2 linked regions of the Struthio camelus genome follow. The protein of the gene in region 2 purifies or fractionates together with the protein of the main gene of each other region. This does not show direct contact. Links are inferred from orthologs where the notes say so. Each region holds a gene or a part of one and is shown on either strand. Other genes may lie near its edges.

What was found. Proteins that work in one complex are often made in the same cells at the same time.
Region 1: the proteins of NUFIP2 (region 2) and ATXN2 purify together in Homo sapiens (affinity purification with mass spectrometry; 3 studies listed by BioGRID and IntAct, counting the BioPlex papers as one, with this or other methods). This does not show direct contact. The link is inferred for Struthio camelus from reciprocal best matches to the Homo sapiens genes NUFIP2 and ATXN2.

Annotation. Positions count from the first base shown.
Region 1 is NC_090958.1:18,288,404-18,298,425, forward strand, and holds the start of ATXN2 (ataxin-2), read right to left. Parts: upstream 4,695-10,022; 5' UTR 4,581-4,694; coding exon 4,420-4,580; intron 3,412-4,419; exon of another isoform or gene 3,396-3,411; intron 1-3,395. UniProt on the Homo sapiens protein: Involved in EGFR trafficking, acting as negative regulator of endocytic EGFR internalization at the plasma membrane.
Region 2 is NC_090957.1:16,875,401-16,886,055, forward strand, and holds the start of NUFIP2 (FMR1-interacting protein NUFIP2), read right to left. Parts: upstream 4,418-10,655; 5' UTR 4,246-4,417; coding exon 4,059-4,245; intron 1,095-4,058; coding exon 1-1,094. UniProt on the Homo sapiens protein: Binds RNA.

The sequences.
Region 1 (10,022 bases), on a different chromosome or scaffold from region 2:
CTAGCAACATCTTCGCTTTGAGACTAAGAAACAAGAAACAGATACATCCATAGTGCAGTTAATGGAGATGACCAGTAGTCTACAGCGGACACCCAACTAGAGTTGAATTTAACAGAGTGAATAAATGTTCCCGGAGTACTGACTGGCATTCCTACAGCTTTGAAAACAATTTACAAGAGACTAGAGAATTTTCAGTACAAGTAAACACACAGAACTGATAAAGCATTTTCCTTTAGAGGATAAATACCATAAGTAGAGACAAACTTCACAGCCCATTTAAGAGCAACATTTGTCTACATAAGATAGAAATGAACTCAAGCTGTCAAATTAGATCATATAAGAAGTACTACAGCACACTTTTCAGGAGTTTTTCCCTATGCTGACATTAGCAATGCCAATCCTTGCCTTCTTATAAGAAGGCAACTTCTCTAACTAGGCAAGCATATTTGAATCAAACCTGACCCAATGCGCACTCTGTAGCCTGCTGACAGAATTAGTCATCGTAGAACCTTCTTCACGTATTTGCCACAAATCAGTTGTTAATTTAAAACTTAAACAAAAGTGGATAAATAATATCACACAAAAAAGGGGGGAAAAAAAGGCATCCATTGCTCTTAGGAAAGACACCTGCAGGTTATCCATTAATTTTGCTCAATAGCTTAACACAGCTGCATTACAGCTATTTTGGATTATTTAACACTGGAGGTCCAAGTTTATAACATTCCAAGGCTATATAAGCCTGAAAAAATGTATACATATAAGGTCCGCTATACAAAGAATTTTGTGATTTCATGATGTTAACAAGCTAAACCTAATGCAGCACTGAGAGAAAAATAAGTAAATAAAAAAAAAAAGTCAGCTTCCTTTCGGAATCTGAAATAGCAAGACAGAAGCACTTCATTGAATTCAGCAACACACCTTGAGAAAGAATCTAAAATTAACTGAAATTAACTCTAGTCAGAAACTTTAAAGATGACAGATAGTTTTGTAAATGAAGAGGTTGCCAACAAGGTTCCTTTTTAGAAGTACATACTACGCAAGTCAGAGGTACGTATCTAATACAAGACACATCAAGGGAATAATTTCTATTTCCAGAAATTGCTGTCCAAGAGATTATCTTAGAGTTAATCACTGCAGTAATTCTAAAAAACAACACACACAAAGATGTTGGAATGAACTAGAAATTAACTTTGAATGACAGGTGACCAAATCTCCAGAATAGCCACTTTCGTTATTTCAGCAAGCCTTGATACTTGATATTCCCAATTATTTCTACCTGAACAGAACAGACACCTCTCTTCCGCCCTTTACTTAAAAGGTTTTAGTTAGTCTAATAAAAAAGGTTGTCAAGGACAAAGAAAATAGGAGCAGGTATTAAGCATTAAATCTCAAAAGCAAGCTACACAACATGGGATAATTTCAGTTTTAACATGTCAATAGGTAGAGCAATTTGTAAGAGTAATTTACAGTATTCTTAAAGGACTCTCAGGTCCAACTAGGCAAGGAAGTTACAAAAGCAAGGGGAAAAGACCTTTTGCCACAATTGTAACTACACACGTAACCATCCAAAACCTTGGCCTGAGATGTTTTGCCTTCAGACAAAATACCAATGGGAAAATAATGGAAATAGAAAAGGATGCACTGCTTGAAGGAATACTAAGACAGATGCAATTTTTAATCACAGAACAGCTAACCTTTCTATGCTTGTATAAGGCTAGATAAGGCTAGAATGAACTAAACACTAAAAGTAGATATTAGATAATGTTTTGACCAGCACAGTGGAGCAGGTTCATATTATGAGGTTTGCATTTTCTCCAATTACAGTTTAACATGCTATTGGCATCCCCACTACAACCTGATTTTCCATCTGCCATATTCCACATGCAGCTACTACTAAGTAAACACAGCATTTCACTGAGTGCCTATTTACAAAAGAATTATTACATATTTCTTGTTTTTAACACCTTCAAAGTTATTTTGTGACTTTTTTCCCCTAATACAAAAGGAAGGATAATATAATGAAAGCATGAATACTAGGATTGCCTGTTCACCCACACAAGATCTTCCCTTTTTTAATATGAAAAACATATATTAATCATGACAAGATGATGGAAACCAGCATAGTGAATAAGCAAAGCTGACCTTCCAACTCATCACCAGATGTAGAAGAACCAGGTGCTTGGCTCAATTAAGTCTTACAGTAATAAGCATATATCATAAACTATCTTGGACAGTTTACTGCCAATGAAATTTCTACCCAAATTTAAACTTTTAAGAGCCGCTTAGCCAAGAAAAGAAACATTCTTTTGCATCTCCAGAAAATAAGAAAAAGAATGCTAGCGTTGCAGAGCAGTAAGTTGCAGAACTACTAAGAAAAAACGCTTGGCATAAACTGGAGATGCTTGTTTAAGTTTCCATTAAACAAAATACACTTAAAATTGAAACCAAGATGCAGATCACCTAAAATAAAATTGATTTTTCATTTAGCTTTTCACCTGAGCCATGTACGAACAAATTTGCTGTATGAACCATCTTTAAATTTGTATTCCACAAAAAGATCAAGACTTTTCTTTAGGATAGTGACAGGAAGAGTTCTCTGAAGGTGTTTCACAAGGCTCTATCAGTTCTAAGACTAAGATTTTACAGATCCTTTTTCAGAAATTACTTGAAGAACTGACTAACAAAGAACAAGGTGCAACCATCTCTGACAGAACACGTCAGTTCCTAAAAAGTTTTGAAACAGAATCTGCCAAGAAAAAATAAAAAGGTTTCTCCTCCAAGGGTTACCTAATAGCTTTAATTTTAACTTAACAAAGAAATTGAAGCTTGCGTTCCTTAATCTATAAAGACAACGTTCACCAACTAAACTGAAATTTCAGACAAAGCTGTAGACTTTGTTGCCCTTCATGTTAACCTCCACAGTGCCGCTGTGTGTTGGCAAGGATAACTGTTTAGCAAAGAACAGTAAATATGAAGTGTTCAATCTAGACACCCATGTATAAAAACTGTTAAATCATTTCAATGAAGTGCTGGAGGTCTCAGTATTTTTTCCCCGTTTATTTTGTTCTTTTTCAGCCCTACTAAAGCTTTTCCACTTCCAGTTCCACAGACTGGTGACAAAGTAAAACCCTGTTTTTAGTGATGTCCAACAATGGGACCAAGGTAAATAAATTCTTTTTTACTGCCAATGCACAAAACTGACTAGGAACATAAAAGTCAAGCTAGAGAGCAAAAAAATAATGACTAAAACTTAAAATGAAACTGCTCTGAGAGACTATGACCTTCAACACTGTTACCATCCTGCTTTGCTTGTATGACCCCCCAGAGCATTAGAAACACTCAGAACACCAGAAGGTCTGTTTTCTTCCCTCCCCTCTTTCCTCCCTCAAACATACGTGAATTTCTATAGCCCATGCTCTTGGATATGGAACATAAGCAGCATCAATCTTCCAGAGGCAGCAGAAGATAGTAGGGCCTCAGGAGTGTGCATAGGAAGGGGGAGATAAGAGAAGAGGAATCTAAGCCTGCTGCGAAACCCTGATTCCTTACCCCCCTAAATTTGTGGAAAAAAATGAACTCATGTTTGGATGACACATCCAGCATATATCACTTAAATCAGATCCATCCATAACGCTAAGCAGCGCTCCAACTGCTCTGCTGGGGCTCCGCACGATATTTTATCGAGATTAAAAAATAAATAAAATAAAATAAATAAAAAATCCCGTCGGCAAAAGGCGCTCTGCGAAAGGCAGATGTTCGCACAGTTTTAAAATGCAGACGTGCTGCCCCCGCTTAAGACACCCCCCCCCTCCCCAGGGGTTAACAGCATCCAGTAGGGGCGACCCCCTCCCCGGCCACCTTCCCGCCCGCGGCCCAGAAGGCTTCGCCCCGAGAGCACGTGCGGCCGCGGCCGCCCCCCGCCGGGCCCCGCCGCAGGCCTCGCCGCCGCCGCCGCCGCCACGGGGGCTTGGCCCGCCGCTGCGCACCACCGGCGCCGCGCTCGGCGAGAAAATGGTCCCCGCGCGGCGGCGCGGTGCGGTGCGGCGCGGCCCGCCCTGCCCGCCGTCCCCCTGAAGGGCACCGCAGCCGCGGCCTTGCTGAGCGGCGGCCCGGCCTCGCCCCGGCGGCACTGCGGAACCGGCGCGGCGCCTCCGCCCGCCGCCATGCCGCCCACCCCCCCCCTCACCCCCCCCCCCGCCGGGCGGAGCCCCCCGCCGCGCTGCGCCGGGCCAGGCCGCGTCCGCTCCCCCCCCCCCCAACCCGCCCCGCCATGCAGCAGGCCCCGCTCCCCCCTCCCGGCCGCACCGCCGCCGCCCATGGAGGCCGGTGCAGGGGGAGGGGGGGGGAGGGGATGGCGGCAGCGGCCGCGCCGTGCCCTCAGCCGGCGCGGCGGGGACGGCCCCGCCGCCGCGCACCCACCTGCCCATGTTCTGCCTCCCGCCGCCCGCGGCTGACGGGAGGCCGGGGCCGCCGCCGCTGCTACCGCCGCCGCCGCCGCCGCCGCCACCACCGCCGCCGGGGGGCTTGCGGTTGTTGCCGGCGGCCTGCGCCGCCGCCGCCGCCTGCTGCTTGAGGGACATGGCGAGGGGGAGAGGGGCCGGGGGGACTGGGGCGAGAGGCCGGGTCCGCGCCGGGGCCTCGCTGCGCTCGCTGGGGCCGGGGGCAGCCGCTGTCTCGGCCGGTTGCTCCCAAACAGTGTGAGCGGGGCGGAGGGAGCGGAGCGCGGCGCGGAGGGATCCGGGGGGAGGGAGGCCGGCTGACGCGGGGGGGGGCGGGGGGAGAGCGAGGCGGGTGAGGTGGGAGGCGGCGGCGAGCGGGCGGCCGGTCGATCAGTCGGCGGAGGCGCCTCTCAGCGGCCTCCCCGCTGCTTTCCTCCGCGGCACCGGGCGGCGGCGGGGCGGGCGAGCGGCGCGGCGGCAGGCGCGGACTCTTTACGGGAAGTCGGAAGGGGCCGCGGCGGTAATGCGGCCGGGTGAAGGGGCGGGGAGGGAGGGGGAGCGCGGCCGCGACACGTGAGGCGGCGGCGCGGGGCCGGCGGCTGCTGCCCTCCGCGCGCCGCAGCCCCCCCCCCCCCCGGCCTCAGCGCAGCGCGCCCCCCCCCCCCCCGCTCCGCTCCCCTCAGCGCGGCGGTGGCGGGAAGCGCTGAGGAAACCGGCTCGGCGCCCCCGGGCCCTGCCCGCCGCTGCCGCCAACGGCTGCCGGCGAGAGGCGGCGGGAGTCGCCCGGCGGGACGGCGACGGGGGCGGGGGCGGAGAGGCGACCGCCTCGGGAAGATGGCCGAGCTGCGCCAGCGGCCGGGAGTTACCTCAGCGCCCTGCGCTGGCGACCGAAGTTGTTAACCGATTTTTCTCACCTTTGAGCACAAAGGCATTAAATTCCCTCACCGGTAAACGATCACGTCCCACAGCCATTGTACGCAGTCACCGAGTGAAACGCGCCAGAGATGGAGCCGGGGGAAGGGGGGGGATTATCGCAATCTGCACCGGCAGCCCCTCCGGTATTAGAGATTTCTGGGATTTTTTTTTTTCATTGCTCTAGTCAAACCCTAACTGACCAAAAAAAGAAAAAAAAAGTATATGATCACAAAATGCAGGCTCACTCTACCTACCACACACCACCAAATTTCATGCATAAAACTCAAAATGCAGGCACTGGGCAGCTCTGGTTCATTAATTGTCCCTGCGTTGCTGAAAAAGCAGCCTTCACGGGCTCTGGAGCGAACCCAGTCCATGCCAGTACGTAAACACAAAGTGTGGTCTGTCCTGCTAAAAATCTATGTACATGCAGGGTTAGCAAGAGCAGATGTAGTTTCACAAACATGAGCTAAATTGATTTATAGCCATGGTTACTCAAAATGCTTCGAGTTTAATCTATTCATAGAAAGGCTCCAGAATTCCCGCAGGATTCAGGTATAATAAAAAGGAACGATGCTGTTAGGCAGGCATTATTTATACACCTTGCTTGTAAAGCAATAGTTTTCCCATGCGGTTGGAAGAGTTGTGGGTGGCAACACACAATAGTAAAAAGATAACAATATTTAACAGCTTTCTCAAATTAGCATTTCCCCTACACTTTTCACTGTTAAACTACTTGTTTTGTTTTACCCAAATAACCTGTGGTTAACACTTTATTAACTAGACGACAGATACCAGCTGAAATGGGCTCAGAAGAAAGAATTATTCAGTTGGAAATGCTTCCCCGAACAGAGCCAGCAGTTTATGGAAACTAGGTTTTCCAGTCGCTTTATCAAACCGACTTGTCTCTTTGCTGTCTCACAGCCACAGAACTGAGACCCCCCAAGGATATCAAGAGTTTCAGCAGTCCGAGATTTTCTGTAGGACGTATTAAAGTGTGAGGGCAGCTAAGGCTACCACAGGCTTTAGGACCATTTACTGTAAAAGCAGAAATCGGTCTCACCGCCCTTACTAGATAGCTAAGGTTACCTCAGAGAAGCTACGAGAAAACAAGCCTCTTTTTGTAAAGTTGAATATACATGTATTGTTCACATACGTTATATATCTGCGTCTCTATCTCTCTGTGCGCTAGCATACAGAAAGTTTTCACCCAGCGCTTCAGGGTACTGTTTGTAAAGTCTTGTACGTCTTTTGCTTGGTGCCACTGGAACCCAAACCGAGGGCCTCAGCACACCACCACAATACAAGAAACGTAGCAGGTAAGGAACTTGCTTTAGTTTCAAGGCATGTTTTGGATCTTGAAGTAAGCTACAGCTAAAAAGGATTACTTCGTCAAGGATGTGTTTTATCAGTGTGCTTTGAATTTTAAGGGAAAGTTACCAAAAAAAAAAAAAAAAAGCACAAGAAGGTCTGGTAAGAGACAACTGAGCATAACATATCCAGATCACTTAATAGTTTTTTTTAGATGTAAAGGAAGTTACTTTCAATATTTTTTCAGCTAAGAGTATTTAGAGTGCACAGCAATTAGTCACTATTTATGTGACTAAAGGTTAAGAACTTTTAAAGAGACTGCAGCATTTTGAAGTGGCAACCATGCTGTGGGATCCCACTGGCTAAGATGAAGCCCCTGATATTCAAGGATGTCAGAAGAACTAAAATAGGTTCAATTGGCAGAGATAGTTTCTAAGAGCTGACATGACTGTATTAAATTGTATGTTGGGGTAACATTACATACTTGGAAAGCAGTTGTATGAATAAGACTCTCGTGTTCATATCTGCAGTAATGACTCAAGTGCAGTTGCAGTTTGACTTGTTTTCTCCTGTAATGTATTCTTTGTTTTGTTAAGCTCTGTTTGGCTTTTGTTGTGTTTTTCCCTGCTTTGTTTGTCTAGCATCTTCATACAAACACTTTGAAAATAAATATAGAAATGACCACATTAAAATAGCTCAGATACTAACGTCCATTAGAGGATCTGCAGTTAGGTCTCTGAATCCAGTGGCAGCCTTTTGTGACTGCCTGTACAAATACTGCTTCTCACCTTCCTCTTGTGTGTTCACTTCTGCAACAGACTACTCATGCTTCCAGTGAAAGGGAGTTATACTGGCATTATGGCATCTATTTCCCTTTACCTGTGATGTCTACTTCCTCTCCCTGCATACAGTTCTTGAAGGTCCTGCAATTTCCGGCACTCCATATTTATCTTTTTATGATTTGAATTTATTTATTTGTTGCTACTGCCTACCATTATATCTGCTAGTTTAGCTGGAAATGATTTGTGGCAAAGGACAGACAACAGTCTGTGGCTCCAATGGTCTAGCTGTAGAAAAGTTCAGAATTCAAATTTGTACGTTCCCTGGTCAAGAAAGAAAAGCAACTATTTATTCAAGAATCACATTATATTTTGCTGTTTCCATTCTTATTCCAGGTCTTTCTGAAGACTACTGTTTTCATTTAGATTTGTGACTACATGTGCAAGCTGTATTTGCATATGAAGATTAATGATTCTGATAATACCATGACTTACCCAGAACTGCTACATGAGGTAATATTTCCTTGACATAACCTGCTTTTAGGTATTGTGCTCTCTTCCTTGAGCCAGCCAGGGTGATCCTCAACAGTATTCAACAAGATGAAACATGCCAGCCTATGGGGGGACAATTAACACTAGCACTTGACATTTATTTTAAGCAAAATCAACTGTCAGAGAAGCTCACAGAACTGGGTACTTCTACACTTTTTTCTTTTTCTCCTGAAGACTTCTATTATTTACTTCCATTATCCCTAATCCTACTCTTAGAGGCTAAAGTGTTGCTGACGATGCTACAGGCACAGGAATCTCCAAACACTTGGAAAGACATTAGGAAAACAAATCAGGTCCTCTAAGAAGAGAAGCACTTCCCAGAGAGATATGATATTAGCTAGTCAGCAAAGCTGCAATCAGTTTGAACTGATTAATTCAATACTTGCCAAACCAGAAAGAGGTATCTGCACAACAATGAGCAGAACCAAAGCGCAAGTTCAGAAGCCTACCAAATGAGACAACTACTGCCTATTGCTGACTCTTTTCTGACTTTCCTCCCCGCCCCAACTTCTATATAGTGTCTTTTCATTGCCTGCAGTGCCTGAATTCACAGCTGGATTCCAGGTGGAGAGCTGCTCCCATCGAACATACCTCTTGACCCACCCTTGCACTGTTAAAACTATTTCCTCCCAGTACTACCCATGCCATTGCACTTCTTGCAGCACATAGTAGCATTGCTAACGTGGGCCAGACAGTAGCTTTCAACTCACTAACTCCTCCTCAAACCCAGTTCAGATAGGGTGCAGATGACAGACAGGCCTGCCGAAACATGCATATGCCAACCGCTTTTACTGCCACCAGTGGGAGATTAAGGAAAATGGCGATGTCTGCAGAGCTTGAGAGAGGGGGTACAGAGGTGCCAGAGCTTGTTTTACTTATAAGCAACATTTTAGTGAACCTTCCTCTCACTTTCCATGGGCCTCAGACACCAAAAGAGAACATTTCCTTCCTTAGGAGGTGACGCTCCGGGATCCACACAACAGCACGCTAGCTCTGTGGCAAGTGTTTTGGGACATAGCTGCACATCGGAAGACAGTGACTCTGCCCCTGCCTCTGCCAAGCAAACTGCCAGGTGATCTTCAGCCTAGCATTTTCTGCTTTTAGATTTAGCATTTTTATGAAGGGGAGGGGGGGACCAAGACTAACTCCTGCTAAGCAGCAGCAGACAAAGCAATCATTATGCCAAGATTTAGCTCTTAAATCCCTCAAGAGCTGGTGCTCAGAGAGCATAAACAACCTTTACCTCACAGCCTTGTCAAGCGGTACCTCTGCATTTCCCAAGTACTATCACACGGACCCTTCAGTGCTCATCCTCTCCCTATCCCTTTGCTGAGATTGGCATGCCAACAAGAAAGCCAGTTGCCATGGCATTTTGTCCCTACAGACAGATGTCCATTAAAAACCAAGTCAGCATCAGGTTTGCTTCACAGAACAGCTTTCAGTTACTATTACCAGCCCCCGAGGAATTTCCGCTGTGCCCCATCACCTCAGATGTTTCAGTGCACTCCGGTATTAATCCCTAGTGATTAGGGGGAAAATACTACAGAACGGGCACAGGTACATTTGAAAGACAAATTTAGGATCACAGTCTTGTTTTACATTTCTGGCAGATGACTGGCATGTGGTAGTATTTGGAAAGGGCTGAATTTGTTACCTCTGGCATTCTCTCTCCTGTTCTCAAAAGCTCCTTGCTAAAATCATCAGACAAATTGGAAGTGAGACACACAGATTTTTCCCTCCTCAGACATGTTATACCTGAGGCTCAGATCATCGATTTTGGAGAGCCAGCTTGGCTTCCGAGCAAACCTGCCTGCATTAATCAGGAGCACCAGCAGGAGCTCCATCCGCAGGGAAAGGGCTTCCACTTCCCCACGCAGGAGCCCCCGCCCCCATCCGTGCGGTATATTCTGCTAGTAATAGACTTCAGGCCGCCTCCGGGAGCAGGGCTAAGCGTTTCCAGCAAATGTGCCTATGTGTTAAATAGTGATGTCTTCTTCCTTGGTTACAAGACCACATTTTTGTGTAA
Region 2 (10,655 bases):
AGTTGTACTTATGTCCTGGGGTACTGACTCAGAAGAGGTTGATGTTACAGTACTAGCAGCAGTTGTGAGCAGTGGCTGGGTCCCTGGAGAATATAGGCTTCCATCAGTCCCTGCTAAAATTGGCCCATTTGAAAAGCTAGCCGAAGTAACAGATTTCATAGCAGACATAGGGACTTGGGAGAGTCGACTTGATGTCTGGGCCTGAGTTTCCCCAGCAGATGACGAAGACGACGACGAAGACGTAGATGGGGTTTGAGCTGCTTTGTTGAGGTTTTCTTTAACTTTACTTGCATAACTTATTTTAGGAACGATTTTAGCACTGCTATTGTCCACTGGAAAAACTGGGGGTGGTTTAAATAAGGTCCATGAATCCTCTTTAGATGTAGCTGATGACGCATGCTTCCCTTTGGGCCGGTCATCAAACTTCTTGCTGCTAATTCCAGGTTTGGCATCAGAATTTTTTCGCTGTACATCCCCAAGCCCAGGCTTTCCCCGGCCTGCTCCACCAGCCCCAGCCTCGTATTTCCAAACAGGCTTAGTATTTTCAATTCGGGTCCCCTTTTGTTCACTATAATCAGGCTTGAAACCCTCAAGTTCCTGTTTTAAGGTTGGGGTATTAACCTCCTGTTGCATTATTTTGTCCTGTACTAGATTCAAGTTCTCACAACCCTTAGCACTGTTGCGCCTGCCTTTCCGTTTTTTAGGCGTAGTATATCCACTCTCGGAGCCACTACCATCATTATCTGCCCCTTTGCCTACGTAGCCATTAGTGATATAACTAGAATTATTGGTTACCACGCCATTTGGAATAGATACTCCCTCCGGCTTGTCAGAGGATTGACTTTCTCTAAGCTTATTTTCGTAGGATTTCTCATTCTTTTTGTCCATGCTATTTTTCTGAACGAAGTTCTTGGTTTTGATTCCGGCTTTCCCCAAAGCACCGGCCTTAACAGTCTGCTTTGGGGTCACATTAGTGTCTACAAGTTGCTGGCTGCCATTTGGTACCCTGGATCCTGGGTTGGTTGTTTCATCAGAGCACAGGCCCTTTAATGATACTTCTCTTTCTCCTGCATTACCATTTAGCTCCCCGTAGCCTAGAAGAAAGCCAAAAACAACAAAAGGCAAGAATTAGAATCTAAAATGTTAAACTTCTGATCGCAAAAAGCTGTAATCAACCCTTAAACATATCCAGTTTCCTCAGACATTTTAAAACAGGAAAACATCTAGCCTCTGACATATAAAAGCACATCCTTACTCACTGAAAGTCACAGTAAGAAGAGTTAAGCAGAAAAACACCAGCGGCTGTTGACTCTTCTCATACGACAGGGTGACATAACAGCAGCATGTTGATTAACGCATTTGATAACAACAAAACAAAGCAAAAGGATATGAGAGGACAGAAATATATATATATCGTGCTAAAGACCATTTGCAAGTCAGAGAGCCAGCTAGTGTTTCCAGGTCACACAAGAGGAAAATATTAATTCCCAAGATGCTACAGGACAGAGGGATCTGCTGCCTTTGCTACATGATTCACTGAGATTCAGCATCTATATTGTGAACAAGGGCCAACTTCTAACATCTCTGTCACCTCACAGACCTGCAACACCAGCAGTCCCCCTTCCCATCTCCCTCCTAAGCAACATCTCCAGTAAAAAAGCTTTCCAAAAGGATATGTGCAAGTTCAGGTGGAAATGGAGGGGGGGGAGGGGTGACAGCATTTCCTCACTTCATTTCAAAATAGCAACCAACACTTCTCTACACGTGCTCTTTAGCTTTGAAAAGGTGATAAAGCTGGGAAGAAACGCACCTCTGCAAGCATCCTTCCACCACCACTGGCAACTAGCCACCTGCCTGCTGAGAAACTTCACTATTCCACCGCGTCCTGGGGAGACGCAGCAAGAGACTGAGAACCAGGCGGTGAGGCATTTGCTGAAGGCCCCAACTCAAAATACAAGATCATGCTGTAAACTCAGCTTTCCTTTTTGTTTCTCAGGTGCGTTTCTAGTCTTTGTGGTTCTGACGAGAACCTCAAGACTGGAACTCAAGTGAAGCAGAAAGCCCAGGACAGTCCAGGCTGAACCACCTCATCCTTCTCAAGGCTATCTCCAGCCAGAGTCCCACTGAGAAGAAGGAAGAGCGTGCTGTACCCAGCTAAGCAAATACACTCCCAGCTGATGGGCTGAGAAGGGGGACTCCCTCCTATTGCACCGGCTTGTACAGGAAAGGAGAGAGATCCTTGCTTCTCCTCTGACTCATCTCTGTCCTCCTTTGCAAAGGTGGAAAGCCTCACATCTTCTGCAACAAATGACCCACCTAAGGCTTAATTTGCAGTTACAGTGGTGTCAAATCAGCACAGCGCACAAAGAAACCCCCAAACCCAGGAGCGGGCAAAATTCCAGCTTCAGAAAGAATGTTTTGTTGTTGCTGATGTCGTTTAACTCAACTGCTATACTAAAATTCATTGTTATCCACACATCCTGGAGTCTCAGATGTCTGGCAGATGTAACTGCTCAAGGAATCCTTATAGAAATTCCACAATGGAGTTTGCTGAGAGGGATCAAAAAGGATTTTACTATATGTAAGTATCTGTAATGACCATAACTTCCAAATAAGCTGTTAATAACATTACCCATAAATACTTCGTCACAGAGATACGAATGGGATGGGACTCTCTGATGACTCAAGGACTAAAAATTATTTCGGAGTAACATGCAGAGGAAGTCTTCTCAAGAATAACATGTAATAGATGACCTTGTAAGACTCAGGACTTCTGACATCACTAGTCAACGACACAAAACAGTAAGAACGGTCATAAGACCACTGCAGATGAGGAGCGAAAGACTAAAATGAAGAACACTTCAGTAAGTCAGTGTCAGCAGTTTCAAGTTCCAATTTTCAAGTATTCACAACTCGGCTGCCCGAGTTTTCTCCAAATCAACATTTGGCATAGCTGGTCCTGGCCCGGAAATAGAGGTGCAACAACCAATATTTTTTGGGGGGGGGAGAAGGATGTCCAAAAGAACACGTGAGGGGTATTTGGCAACCTCACAAATCATTTCATAGCTGGAAAGAAAAGGGGCATCAGTCTTAAGCATGAAAACCACGGGCACGCTGCAAACAGTGAAGCGACTACTCAAGTTATTTTTGCCCAATAACTTATTTGAGCGGCTGCCTGGTCAATCCCCTCCCTACTCCCGCTCCAGATGGCTTTACGCGCCTGGCCAGACTGCGGTTTCAGGGCACTATGAAACCTATTTCTGATAGGAGCCAGGTCCCTTCCCACCTCCCGGCTGATTATGCAAACGAAGATTTCAAGGGTGGGGTGGGGGGGTGGGGGCAAGAAAGTGCATGGCCTTCTGACTACTCTTTTAGTCTCATATTTGCTTTGAGCCCGCAAAACGTTCAAAGACCAAAAACGGTCCTTGCCTGCAGGCCGGGGCCGTGAAGTCAGGGCGCCGGTCCTCCCCTCCGACCTGCCCAAACCGGGGCTATGCCCCGCAGGCAACGGCCGCCGGGCCTCGGCCCCCTCCTTCCGCCGACCCCCCCCACCTTAACAACAAACAACAAAAAAAAAAAAAAAAAAGAGGATCGAGGCAACTTCTGGATTTCTCCGCTTTCGCCCGCCGGGCAGCCGGGAACATGCCAGGAGGGGCCAAGCGGCCGGGCGAGGCCCCCGCGGCCGCCGGCTCCGCAGCGGGCCCGAGCAGCGCCGCCGCCGCCTTATCTGACTCATTGATTTTTACGCTCATCAATTTTTAACCAGCGCCCCCCCCCCGTCCCGGTCCCCCCCCCCCCCCCCCCCGCGGCAGGGCCGGGGGCAGCGGCCGGCGGGGCCCGGGCGCGGCCCCACGTGCCCGGCGGGCGGCGGCGGGGCCCGCGGCGGCCTCGGCCGCGCCGGCTCCAACATGGCGGACAGGAAGCGGCCCCAGCGCGGCGGAGAAGCTTCCAGCCGGGCCGCGGGAGGCGGCGGCGAGGAGGAGGAGGAGGAGGAGGAGGAGGGGAACCGCCGCCGCGCGAAGGTCACGGGCGCCCGGCCGCCCGCCCCCCGCCCGGACCTGCTCTGCGCTTCGGCGCCTCCTGGTGCTGCGGGCCGCCGTGCTTGTGGTCGTGCCGGAGCGGCGGCTTGGGCTGGGCTCGGCCGTCGGGCGGCGGCAGGTAGGCGCTCTGCGGGTGGTGGTGGTGGCTGTAGTAGTAGTAGTGGTGGTGGTGGTGGTGGTGGTGATGGTGAGGCTGTTCCTCCATTGGGGGGTGGCTGGCGGGGCCGGAGAGGGCCGAGCCGAGCCGGGCCGGGCTGGTCGCTCGCTGCTGGGCCGTGCGGCTCCGGCGCTGGGACGCGGCTGGCGCGGGGGAGGCGGCGGCGGCGGACTGGCAGCGCCCGCCCTGCAATCAGCGAGCCGCCGCCGCCGCGGCCGCCCGCCCCCCGCCCCGCCCCGCCCCGCCGCCGCCGCCGGGGCCCGCCCGCCCCCCGGGCGGAAAGGGAAGCGCCGGCCGCGCCGCGGAACCGGCCCCCCGGCGTCGGGAGCGCTGCGGGCGGCGCTCGCTTTTTCCGTTCCCGTCGCTCTCGGAGCCCGGCTACGAGCTTTTCCCTTTCCTCCCACGGAGCAGCGTTTCGTAATCCTGTTCTGCGACTGGGCGACCTTGCATCCTGGAAATGAATGTCGTGTACTACTTCAGATTATGATTTCACTGCAGGCTCCAAGCGGAGGAGGAGAAGGGGTGGGAGGAAGCAAATCCTCCTTTTACCGTCAACGAGCGGATCGACCAAGCGGCCGCAGTGAAGCGAGGGAGGCAGCCGGGGTGCCTCCAGCAGGCAGAAGTTTCTCTGGGCGGCGTTGAACAGGACCACGCAGACGGGACACGAACAAGAACACTGTAAATTACTGTGTTTCCACTAGCAGTTACTGACAACTCCGGAGCAGCAGCAGCAGCAGCAGCTCCTCCGGAAAGAAGCTGAGTCCGCGTACAGGAACAAGCTTGAAGGAGCTGGAGCGTTCTGGTTTGCTCTAGGGCTCCACCAGCAGATTGCGGAATGAAAGCGCAAGCCGCTAAGCGGAGCCCGAGAGAGGAGCCAGACGCCGGCCCGACGCCCCGCTCGGCTAGTGCCACCGTGGCAGGGAGCGGAGGGGACCGCGGCCCCCGGCGCCGACCCCTGCGCCCAAACAGTTACGCAGCCCCAAGCCACAGCAGCGCTCCGTGTGGCCTGACCGAGCTGGTTCCCTGCCCCTGAGGGTCCACGTCCCTCCTCACACGTGTACAGTATAAATCCGGTGAGGAAAAAAGAGTAGAAAATGGGTTCCGGCACATACATTTCTGCTCATTTCTGAGAGAAGCGCGATTATCGCTTAACAAAAAATCACAGCCACTTTGAAAAGCAAGAGAGGGGAGTGGGGAAACGACCGGAAATTTGTTAAAATTCCTCATGGATTTTATACCATTATAAACATCTGATAACTCCCATTTGAGCACAGTCAGTGGAGCGTTCAGCAGCTCCATCGTCTGAACTCCTGCCTCTGCTCTGAACGCGCTCCAATTGCGGGAAGAAACAGCTCGCAAGATTTTCCCCTAAGACTGTCTTTCCTTCCCAGCTGCTCCATCTTTAACACTATGGTAGGGCGCAAACAGACCCTCCCTTTTGCCTCCAAAATTCTTCACAGATACCAGGCAGCACGGAGACAAAAAAGGGTCCGATGTGAACGCAGAGCGAGGAGGAACAGAAACGGGTTAATTAGAAGGGTAGGAAAAGGAGGGACGGGGAGACCTGAGACTGACATATATAGGCTAGAGTCAGAGGGAGAGTTCTGCTAAGACTTATTCACTACTCCAGTTTGATTAATTACCACCAAATATTCACACCGTGCACTGCTGCAATCAGGGAGGGAGGATGACAAAAGAAAATGTGATCATGTAATTAAAGACTGTCATAACTCTTATGAAGAAAAGAAATACATGGGCTGCACAGACAATCTTAAAAATAGTATTTCCTAGCTTCTCATGGCTGGCACTTGCAGCTTTAACACCTCCCCCTTTTTTAAGTATTGTAATAAAGTAAAAAAATAAAATAAAAAAAGTTTCAGTGTCCAGAAAGCCCTATCAGACTTTGGCTCAGACTTCTGTTGGGCACTGTATGAAAGACAGAGTGCCTGCCCCAAGATTTTACATTTCCCAAGTTTTATTTCAACAGAACATAGCTGAAAGTTTATGCCTCAAGCACAGCTTCCCATCCCCACTCCACCCTCTATTTTAATATGTAGGAGGCAAAACTTTTCCTACCAGAAATCCAAATCCAACATTAAATTTGGGGTGCCTGAAATATCATGAGTTTTGTGCCAAACTGTACAGATCACATTTCTTTCAACACAATGCAAAATGATTTAAGATGTAGTGAAACAGTTTAAGCAAGCAACTGTGAAGTTTAGGCTTTACCCACACTCTCAGGAATAACGGTCCTTTCAAACACTGACTCATAAAGTGACCTCACATTAGTTAGGAGACAAGTCTTAAAATGAGGAGTCAGACTTTAATCACAGTTGACATTTTATTGGTAGCTTGGAAGAATTTAGTTTTAATAGTAAGAACTGGCTTGAAGAAATAAACTTCAAAAGACTGAAGAAAGCAGCCTTAATTACAAACAAATCATCTCTATGCACAAGCATATTAGAAATGTAAACACAGAGAGTAGTGGTTTTCTTTACGTGAAAGACAAAGTAACTATTTTGTTTCTTAGAAACGTGGTGGTGCCAGTACTACATTAGACGTATAAAGTGTGCAAAAACAGATTTAAAAAATCCAAGGTAATACTGAGGCTTGTGGTCCATCAAATGAAGCACAGGCACGCCAAGCTAGCGAGGCGGCTGACTGCACACGGGTCTACGAGGTGGGTCACAGCCCTGGCGCTGCGGAGATGCAGCCTAGGGCACCACAAGTTCCAGCATGCAGTGCTGCAGCTGGGTTCGAGGTGTCTCTGAAACATGCTGGGATCTGTAGTCTTTACAGGCTACGCTTCCTATTAAGGGCAGTAGCAGTTTGTTCATCGTTTGGAAATGTCATGCTCTCCTTTCAAGTTGTCTTTGTTAAGAGTTACATCCAGCCCTCTCCCATCATTAGCACAATGTTGCACCAAACAGACAAGATATTAATGTTCAGCAGTTGTTAGGGCTATGATCTCCACAGCTGCTTAAAAGGGAAACCGGAGACTTAATGCCTCCTCATCTGCAGCGGTTTTCTTCCTCGCTGCTCTTTGAGTTTGGCAAGTCAGCAGTGCCTCATGCAAAGGAAAGAGGTTATTTTTCTTGGAATTCCAAATCCACTGCCAAGTATTCCCACATCCTGGCACAGAAGTTGGGCAGAACCAGCATAATTTCTAGCTTAGTAACTCAGAATCTTGTAAATCTTTGAAGTATATGACTTTTCGGAGAACTTGCCATTAAAAGCTGCAAAATGAAAGCAGTAAGGAGTGAATCAACTGCTACAGGAATCATGAGAAAGTTCTCTGGAGAGTCTGACCCTGACTTGAGATGGGTTTTGAATTCATGTTAAAACGTAGTTAAATTTGGAAGCCATTCCAGGGATTTTCTAAGAACAAATAATTTCTTTCCGAAGGCAATCCTCTTTACGACCCTAAATTTATTCTCCAATAAATGTTTGAGGTTACGTTAAAACTTTGAAACTATAAAATTAATCTATCTGTAAAATGAAAAATGCTGGCTTCGTAAGATTTCTTGTGTCCGTCTCCTGCTTAAGGCTCAAAATATGGAAACATGAAAATTACCACAGTTATAGATATTGGTAAGAGCTCTTATACAAGGTATGTGTGGCATTAGTTTTCTTCTTTTTGCCAAAATGCTTTCATTTATGGCAAGTATTCGGACTTGCCGAATGCTCTGCATTCCAGAAAGCCCAGCATAGCAAAGCACTCAATTAGATGCTTAATTTCAGGTATGTTCATAATCATACTGATAAAAACCTTGCAGCAGCTGGCCCCTGAAGTCTAATATATTTCAGTACAATGAAGCCAGAATTTACCAACCTACTTGATATTAAAATGTTAGAAATGTGAAAGACTGACATTTCAGAGGAAGAAACAGTTTGGTCAGGACAGATCACAGGGGTGACAGCACTCCTTGCAGTCTTCTGCTTGAATAGGGGTACAAATATCCTCACTGAGTTCAGTATACTGTCATTTGGAATTAGGTTCAGGTAAGGTGGAGCCTCTCCTTGAACTCCATTTCTGTACTTTGCTGTGTATAGTAGTAGTAGACTTTAGCTTAGAGATCTTAAGAGAAGGCAACAAAATAATTTAATCCCTAAATGAATTGCAGAAATGGATATTGTGGACACACCTGTCCTATCACTAACAGCTTAAGCAATTCCACCTAATAGCACATGCTGAATTAGGTTCCCCACCCCCCCCCGGCAATAAACTTAATTTTCAAAAGCCATAAATACACTATGTTAATCCTTCATTCACTCCCAAGAAAAGTAAGGCAGCTCAGCACCAAAAATAACCACAGGGCATAGTTTTGTGAGACAGCAAAACTGACGTAACGGCTAGCTACTCCCAAAAGGGAAGGTCATCTCCCCGTTCTGCCTGCTTGCCTCTGCCCTGCCCTTGCATCAGCACTGTTGCTTCTCTGACCCCGGGTGAGCCAGTTTGAGAAATCAAACTAAAAGACCATTCTTCAGCTTTAAAGAGAGCACACCTTTCCCCCTTAGTTAAGCTTCCTGAATTGAGAGAGTTGTTCTTTTTCTCCTCACTGAGAGGAGCAACTCAGCAACCGAGGAGCAACTCAGCAACTCAGGAGTTGCATTGTACAGCCAACCATGCTACAGGGATGAACCCCTTCTGGGAACTGGGCAGTGGTGACACAGCTGGTGACACCGCTGAGGGTTGCAGCCACTTCAGCCATGTTATTTTATTTTGCTCATATTTTTGAGTCAATCCCCTCGAGTGCCCAAAGAAGGATGGTGTGACTACCCTTCAAAGTGTTCTGCAGAAGCTATAACAGGATGGCTCTAACCAGTGGGACTTCTTTCTGATGGCTACAGTCATTGTTTAATAGGACTAGATCCGAGGAATCTCTCCTGTTTTAAACACATTGAAGTGTTCATACAAGCACGAGTAACATCTGCTGCCTAAATCGACATGAAAAATTGTTTACTAGAGTGCAATCATGTGAACTGGAGGCAGCTTCTTGGACATACATATGAAACAGCAGAGGAGGCAGGCTAGCAGGTCAGCCTCTGCCAAGTCTCACATCATTACTTGTCTGGAATTTCAAAGAATCCTGGCTCTGGGATTTCAGATAGTCCCAGATCCCCCCCTTACTTTCCTAGGATCACCACAGGGACCACAGAGAAATCAGCACAAACACTTTCCAAGGTGCTCTTCCAATAACTGCCCTTTTGCCGGCTGCTCTGCTAGGACCCAAGTGCACACGCAGTCTGGATTGACTTATGCGTGGGACTGTGTCAGTCACTGCTTGCAGTGGACTTTGACCTCTGGAAGACAAATGAGAAAAAGCTCAATCCACAAATCCCAAGCACTTTTTATCATGTTATACGACAGAACAGTCACAAGGTCACTAGTCACTTCCATTTCTTTCTAATTGCATTTGGATACCAAGCACCTACTATTCTGAAATAGGGACTTTTTTTTTTTTTTTTTAATATATATCGAGTATGTATGTATCTAGCACATGGAGGCTTAAATACATGTGTCTGGACTCAGAGTTTGGAACATAAAAATGCCTAGTACTGGCAGAACACTGAATCTGTAAGGGTTATTCTTTGAGTTAGTATTATAATTGCTATTTCATTACGTGATACATGGCAATGATAGTTGACTAAAACATCAGGGATTGAGAAAAGCTCTTGTTTGAAGCGGAATTAAAAAGACTGGGACCATTCACCTCAGAGGGAGCAAATCAAAAAGTCCAGAGAAGGTATTACAAAATGCATGGCCTAGAGATAAGGTGAACAAAAATTCTCAAACTGTTATCTCAAAACATCACAGGAACATGAAGGCAAAAAGAAAAATGGTAAATTAAAAACAGATAAGCAACCACCTTTTAATGCTTTGCATAAAGTATATATAAAATTCATTGACGCGCAACATTCTGAAGAGCATGCCATTATTAGTATTCCTAAAGGATGGGCATAATTCAGCTGAAAGCAAATGTGAACATCTAGAATAGAGGTTTTAGAAGGGTTATCTAGCACAAATCAGCTTCTAGCTCTTTGGATTTTAGAGATTTCTGCTAGATACCCAGCATCCGAAGAGCTCAAATAGAAGGGGGAGGGGGAAAACAGTATACGCTCATAATAAAACAATCCACTCTGAATAACTCATAAACTGAGTATAAATAAGACAACTGATGGATCTAGCTAGACAGGGAGGAAAACAGGAGACAGCAGAGACCAGTACTGAAAGGCAAGCCAAACAGTGGTTGCCGTACAGCAAATATCTGTAACATCTTCCACTGAGGGCTTCTTACATCATCAACTTCATGGATCCACGCTCCAATTCAGTTCTGAAATTCAGGTATTTTAGTACATATCAACTAAGTAACAACACTGCCGAAGGCACTGCTAAAGGCTGGCTCTCACCACATCTTTTACCCTACTTCCTTATCTTGGAATTGGGTCCACAGTGC